Xenopus tropicalis: one gene and its partner. The main gene of each other region encodes a partner of the protein of the gene in region 2 in a complex. Links are inferred from orthologs where the notes say so. Each region holds a gene or a part of one and is shown on either strand. Other genes may lie near its edges.

Region 1 (3,663 bases), on a different chromosome or scaffold from region 2:
CGCCCAGTGATGGAACTGATGTGGGAGGCCCTGGATATTGCTGTAGTGCCAGGGCAAGGTAACCAGCTGCCTCCGTGTGTAAGTGGGCAGTGTGTGCGGCTACAGTTTATCATTATTTCCCTTCTCCCCTTTTGATCTGTTTCTTGGCATCCTGCAGCCCAGTCCGGAACTCCCTGAGGAAAGTGTCCTTAATGCGCTCCGCCTTGCGGCCCATCTCCCACATGTCCCGGGGGGGCCCAGCCCTGCTCGTCTCCTGTCGGATCTGTCGCACAGTGTCGGAGCGCAGGATTCTCTGGGCCGCGTCCTTGCCGCTCAGCTGAGCCTTGGTGACAGCGAAGGCAGTGATTTGCGCTGCTCTCCGTATGGGCCGGGACTCGGAGAGTTTCTCTATCAGTTGGGGGTTATTGAGCAGAGTAAAGAGCAGTCTCCTCAGAACCATTGTGCTAATTCAGTTTCGCTCTCACAAACACCAATGTCGCTTAATTCACTATTGAGCCATACTGCCGCTCTGTAAGATCCGCCACCTACGGCAAAACGTACAAATGCTAAACTGGGCAGAGGTGCAAATGAATTATATCGCTGCGCCCCACCATGTATAAAAAGCAGTCCCGGCTATCGGCTACACTCGCTCCATACTCACTCACTGCTCGATAGACTGCACTTGTGCGCCGCTCTCCGCCAATCCCAATTCTCACGGTCACCTGCCTGACCTCACTATAGTTTCCGGTTCACCCGGATACAATATTACACTGCTGCTCTGTGATTGGTCCTTGTGCGGCTTAATGGGCGCCACTTGGAGAAGATTAGTGAGGAGACTGTAGCTTCTGTAAGGAAGAACCGACATGGCTCTGGGTGCCCTAAAGAGCGACTCGTACGTGGAGCTGAGTCAGTATCGGGACCAGCACTTCCGGGTGAGCTGCCGGCGGCACCTACCTGTTTGGGTTGGGCGGGCTGTGCCTGTTAGTAGTGCTGTAGGCAGTGGGGGCACGCATTCTGCTCAGAACCAGCCTCCTTTGTCTCACTGGCCGGGATACGAGCTACAGTACCAGCGGGATCTGTGTGTTGTTCTGTTGCTTCATTCTCCCCTACTGCAATAATCCCTACTTGAGAACTCTATTGCCGGTTTCTAATCCTGTATCATGTAACACTGGGGGCTCACACTCAGTTCTGGACTGGGATTCAAAATAGGCCCTGGCATTTTAAGTTCAAAGAGACCCAAACAGCCCTCACCAGCCCCTCTGGTATTTGCCAGAACCCACAGATTGCCAGTCCGGCCTGTTCATAATAACTCATTATGGGCATCTCTCATATACCCTATGAGCTCCTGCTTTCCCATGCTGGTGTGTGCTTCTCTCTTAAGGTCCCCATACACGGGCCGATAGAAGCTGCCGATATTGGTCCCTTGGACCGACTTGGCAGCTTATCTGCCCGTGTAGGGGCAGAAACGAGGGGCCTGGCCGACCGATATCTGGCCTGAAATTGACCAGATATCGATCGGCCAGGTTAGAAAATCCAGTCGGATTGGGGGCCGCATCGGCTCGTTGATGTGGCCCCCGAACCGACTGCCCCATGGCCGCAACTGTAATCCGATCGTTTGGCCCCAGGGCAAAACAATCGGATTATTTTTTTTTAAAGCTACTTGCTACCCGATATCGCCCACCTGTAGGTGGGGATATCGGGTGAAGATCCGCTCGCTTGGCGACATCGCCAAGCGAGCGGATCTTATAGTGTATGGGCACCTTTTAGTTTCTGTCATCTAATTGGGTATGTGTCACACACTTCCAGAGGAACCAGAAGGTAGTTTGTCTGAACGTATTAATGTACTTACCTGCTTTGAGGTATCTGCAATAGCATTGGCTTGAATGACCTGCCAGCATGGAGTGACTTGATGTGGCAGTCAGGCTTAAACTGACATTATTGCATTATAGAAGTTAACCCAGGTTAAGCAGGCAATTATTACAAAACAATCTGTGTTGATAAATGCATTGAATAATTAATTGTATGAGAACTAGATGATTTTAATGATTGTGGCAGGGCTGCCTCTAAAGACTGTGAAAGTTTATTTTTTTTTAATAAGAAAATAAGGATGCAGTTTGTCTTCCAAATAATCACTAATTATGTTGATTTGTTTATATTACAGGGAAACCGGTCTGATCAGGAGTGTCTGCTAAAGCACAGTTGCACCTTGTATGTAGGAAACCTGTCATTTTATACAACAGAGGAACAAATCCATGAACTGTTCAGCAAGAGCGGCGATGTTAAAAAAATTGTTATGGGGCTCGATAAGATTAAGAAAACAGCCTGTGGATTCTGTTTTGTAGAGTATCCTTTTTATATATTTTTTTTTTTCAATCCTTTTTTTTTTTTTTTTTGCCCACTTTTGAGGAGGACCGGGTATATATAAATGTAGCCCACCCCTAGGTGTGGCTTGGATACTAGCAATACGACTATGTTGATACCCCAAAGATTTCCCACTGTATACCAACACAAGTAAAAAGTAAACCTGTATTTATTATACAAGACGGGGCGGAAATAAATTGGTAGTTAATGCAGAAAATAGAAACAGAAGGCAATAACAAAATGTAGTGAAATGCAATATAAATCGTTTAAATTCACACAGGAATTTAAATTTTACAAGGTAAATAGACACCTAATATGTGATGTATGGGTGTTTGGGAGCTCCCCTTTAGTCCTAAAAGCCAGCAATGTTGGGGCCCTTAACTTCCAGGATGTCTAAGCTATGTTTTATAGCTTTAAATGCAGATCTCACTTCCAAATTCTCATTATTAAACTAGTGTCTTCGATGGGCTGGATTGCAGTCTGTGTCTGGGAAATCGCTGTTCACTCTTTTAGCACACACACCCCTTGGACTTTAATGGTAATCTCCAGCAGATCCCCACAGTAATTTCCCTTAAATGCACTTCCTTCCAGTCCCCACCAGTTATTTTTTACACTTTTCTTTCTGTAGAACAGGGCTGTCTAACTGGCAGCCAGTGCCCCCCCTCCCTTTGTAAGAATGTTATCAGTACTGAGATTAACTGGCTCACTGCATCATTCACACCTCATGTTCAGGCTGTAATCCCCCTGTATTGTTTAAACATTTAGTCCCCTATACTGTTTACCCCTTTTAGGGTTTGCATTGTTTACCCCTGCATTGTTCACACTCAAACTGTAAATGCACACATTGTTCACCTGTTCACACCTCAGTATGAGCATTGTGTCACTGTATGTGTCTGGGTGTGCCATACTCTGCCTGTGTGTGCCATACTCTGCCTGCCATATGGGAGGTGAACCTGGCAGGGGCTTGTTCTGGGAGTTTGTTAGCAGTTGGAAATAGTCATTATATGGTCCCTAAGGTGTGTAATTATGTGCTGGGGTTTGCTGTGCTATCTACAGGGGAGTAGAAGCCATATAGATTTAAGGGTATGTCTTGATATAATATAATTCTTTCACATATGAATGAAGTGTGATATACCTACACCAACCATTTGGGTTTTTGCTGTGCTACCACCATTAATGTGGGCATGGTCTTAAAAGCTCTTGTGATAACATGGGTGTGGTTTGAAGTGGGTTCAGTTTAAAAAAGGGGAGTGGTCAAAACTTGGCTTCTAATATCGACCCTGTACCATGTAGGCCAGAAAAATTCCGGCCCTCGGTACAATA
Region 2 (3,754 bases):
ATTACTACTGTCTCTAAATTATATTGCCTTATTTAAAGAGTATTAAGTCCAACCTCAAACAGTATGGCAACCCCTTTTTCATGTATCCTGACCCATAAAATAAGAACCCCTGACTTTAACAATAGTGTAATTAACATGATATAAAAGTGATTGGCTCTGCTGAGGCACTTTCCAAATACTTCATGAGAACCACACAATTGAAAGGTCATAAATTAAAGGAGATGTACAACTGAAGTCTATGAAAAATTCTCTACCTAGGCAACATAGCAATTCCCACTAAATGAACAGAAAGTGCATTCTTAAAGTGCACCACAAATAAATATTATGAAAGTTAGTATAAATAACTTTTTTTTAATATCTGACAGTGCCACAGTAGGTGTCGAACTGGCCCCCAGGGATTCCAGTAAAACTCCTGGTGGGCCCAAAAAAAGAATAGATTATAGTACATAAAGATAAAAAAACACTAGGAAAATATAGAGGGTGAGAGAGAAGTGGGTGAAAAATAGTTTGAAGGTTTTTTTCTGGGCCCCTGGCATCCCACTCTGACACTGGCCACAATGGTTTTTTAGTTTCCCTTTAATGACCAGATTTGGTGTGTACCCGTTTATACACACGTGTGTGTGTGTGTGTGTGTATGTATGTATGTGTGTGTGTATGTATGTATGTATATATATATATACACACATACACACACACACACACTTTTTTCCCCTAAGTCAGGGCAGAATGGCAATCACATCCTCTGCCATTACCCTAATAGATGAAAATAAGAAAATTCGGCACGTTATATTTACAGCAAACAGAATAGTTGAGCTCTGCAATAGAAGGGCCACTCTGCAGAACCCGATGAGTGCCAAGCTGGCAGCTGTGCGGGGCACGCATATTCTAAAACGTAAACCACACTCGCTACAGATCCCTCACAAACCACGCCTATCCTCCTCCACTTCCATTCATTAGCTTGACACTTCACTCACAATTTCTCAAATTTGACTCTCCTACCCCACCTGTACTATATGGAGCACTGTCCTGTCCAGCACCTGTCACGTGACCGTAACGTCATGGCGAGTCTTGTTCCTGTCTCGGATATTACTGAGGGGCCGGGACTAGTGTTTCCATTTTTTTATGTGACGTAAAAAGAACGCGACCGACTTTACAGAGAGGTAAATAAACAGGTTGTTGTGTGTTTTTCGTTTCAAACATAGTAGAAATGTGTCTAATGAGTATTTTTTCAGTTCGAACCTGTTGGTATTTGGGAGCTTTGGAAACGTGAATGTTGAACAATGTAGGGCCAAGCCTTCCAAATGCGCACCGATCGGGGACTTCGTATTGCATTTGCCATTGCAACAAATTGGCGGGTCTGGTAGGGCTTCACGTTCTTGCAGTTGTCAGTCGGAACAACAAGGATAATGGAAGTTGTGTTACCTGAATATGGCATCTCCTGCCATGAAGTATGGGGAGGGGGGGGGGGCTACCTAATGTTGGCCAGACTTTTAAATGTTTTGTCATATATTAAGTGATTGTACCATTTTATGTCATTCCTACTGCATTTATCCGTCTGAAGAAAATATTCGTGCTAAAAAGATTTTATAGTTTTGTTGTGTCCATTAAAAGATAGAAATTGCCTGACAGCTGTGTTGCAGTAACTGCAAGCTGCTTTTTAATACCTCCCACCATGCAACCTACTTTCATCTCTCAGTCTCAACCATGGAGAGATTTTATCTATTCCCAACCAAGATCTTCTTTCCCATCTGATTGATTAGTAGGACAGTGTTGCTCGGATAGCCTCCTGGCTGGTAAAAAATGATGTTTGAAGCCAATGTTATTAATAAGAAAAAAAAGATAACAATATGGCAAGGCCAGAATGCTTTTTTTTCCCAGAGATGGTGGCAACCCTAGATTTTGCTGATTATTAAAGTGTATGATTGTTTCTAGTTACTGGATCATCCTAAAATCACTCACTACTTGTTTTTAAATTTTTCTGTGTGACTAGCTTAGGTTGGTAAAGGAAACATCACTTGTTATGCATAACACTTATTGTGAAGGTAAATTCAACTTTTGTTACAGTGTTGTATGTACAATAGACAGGCCTTTTACCTTAACACTTAATAAGTGTGTGTGGATATTTAGTACTAATTGTTCAATATTAATAATATTAAAAAAATAAATAAATATATATATATATATATATATATATATATATATATATATATATATATATATATAGTTTTAAACCTTGTTCAGCAATATGGATGTCATTGAATTATTATCTACATAGATGTGTCAGGCCACTGGAGAGATGTGGGTTGAATATGCTTGTGACAAGTAATGTATTTCATCATTGTTATATTAAGCTGAGATTTGGACATAAACTATGTTGTATATTATATGTAACATCTGTTTGTATCAATATTTATCTACAGAAGTACCCCTCTGTGCAAGCATCATGGTCCTGCTACCAACCAGCCTTACAGAAGAAGAGGAGGCTTTGCAGAGGAAGTTTGCAAAGCTGAAAAAGAAGGTAAAGACTCTATGGGGCACATTTACTAATCCACGAACGGCCGAAAAGCGTCCGAGTGCGTTTTTTTTGTAATGATCGGTATTTTGCGTTTTTTTCGTCGCCGTCCCAACTTTTTTGTGAATTGTCGCAAATTTTTCAAGCGCTCAATACGAAAAAGTAGAGGCAATTCACGAAAGTCGTAACGGCTACGAAAAAGTTGCGACAATTCGCGAAAGTCGTAACGGCTACGAAGAAGTCGCGACAATTCACGAAAAAGTCGTGATGGCGGCGAAAAAATCGCAAAAGATACGAAAAAGCCGCAAAATGTTCGTTTCCAATCCGATTTTTTCTCATTCGGGATTTGGATTCGTGGATTAGTAAATCAGCCCCTAACTGTTTAAAATAATAAGTTGTTGCACTACAGCAGGTCATTGTGTATGTGACCTTGCATTGTTGGATTAATAGTATTGTGTATAGTACTGTATGTATTGGTTAAATTACATTTAATGTTTAGGAAGACAAATTACATGATAAAAACACATATAAACACATAACTGCAAATTGTCTTAAAATACTAGTATCCTATTTTCATCATACCTGAAGTTAGTTTTCATGAGAACATCTCCTTTAAATAGAGGTTTGGAGGGCTAGGTCCATGTATATTAATGTATTTTGTGTAATAGTGGTGTGAAAAACTATTTGCCCCCTTCCTGATTTCTTATTCTTTTGCATGTTTGTCACACTTAAATGTTTCTGCTCATCAAAAACCGTTAACTATTAGTCAAAGATAACATAATTGAACACAAAATGCAGTTTTTAAATGAAGGTTTACATTATTAAGGGAGAAAAAAAAACTCCAAATCTACATGGCCCTGTGTGAAAAAGTGATTGCCCCCCTTGTTAAAAAATAACAACTGTGGTTTATCACACCTGAGTTAAATTTCTGTAGTCACCCCCAGGCCTGATTACTGCCACACCTGTTTCAATCAAGAAATCACTAAAATAGGAGCTACCTGACACAGAGAAGTAGGCCAAAAGCACCTCAAAAGCTAGACATCATGCCAAGATCCAAAGAAATTGAGGAACAAATGAGAACAAAAGTAGTTGAGATCTATCAGTCTGGTAAAGGTTATAAAGCCATTTCTAAAGCTTTGGGACTCCAGCGAACCACAGTGAGAGCCATTATCCACAAATGGCAAAAACATGGAACAGTGGTGAACCTTCCCAGGAGTGGCCGGCCGACCAAAATTACCCCAA

Evidence for each region. The genes of interacting proteins can lie anywhere in the genome.
Region 1: the proteins of nelfe (region 2) and ncbp2 are in contact, whole or in part, in a crystal structure (PDB 5OOB), measured with the Homo sapiens proteins. The link is inferred for Xenopus tropicalis from reciprocal best matches to the Homo sapiens genes NELFE and NCBP2. Residues at the interface, in NP_002895.3 of Homo sapiens: Lys361, Arg362, Gln364, Ile365, Val366, Tyr367, Asp369, Tyr372; in NP_031388.2 of Homo sapiens: Phe49, Tyr50, Thr51, Thr52, Glu53, Gln55, Lys68, Ile69, Ile70, Met71, Leu73, Lys77, Lys78, Thr79, Ala80, Asp107, Glu121, Gln124.

The regions. Positions count from the first base shown.
Region 1 is NC_030681.2:106,058,433-106,062,095, reverse strand, and holds the start of ncbp2 (nuclear cap-binding protein subunit 2), read left to right. Parts: upstream 1-808; 5' UTR 809-842; coding exon 843-911; intron 912-2,140; coding exon 2,141-2,322; intron 2,323-3,663. Other genes in the region: protein NCBP2AS2, read right to left, coding at 113-439. UniProt on the Homo sapiens protein: Component of the cap-binding complex (CBC), which binds co-transcriptionally to the 5' cap of pre-mRNAs and is involved in various processes such as pre-mRNA splicing, translation regulation, nonsense-mediated mRNA decay, RNA-mediated gene silencing (RNAi) by microRNAs (miRNAs) and mRNA export.
Region 2 is NC_030684.2:74,059,985-74,063,738, reverse strand, and holds the start of nelfe (negative elongation factor E), read left to right. Parts: upstream 1-1,124; 5' UTR 1,125-1,160; intron 1,161-2,420; 5' UTR 2,421-2,443; coding exon 2,444-2,518; intron 2,519-3,754. UniProt on the Homo sapiens protein: Essential component of the NELF complex, a complex that negatively regulates the elongation of transcription by RNA polymerase II.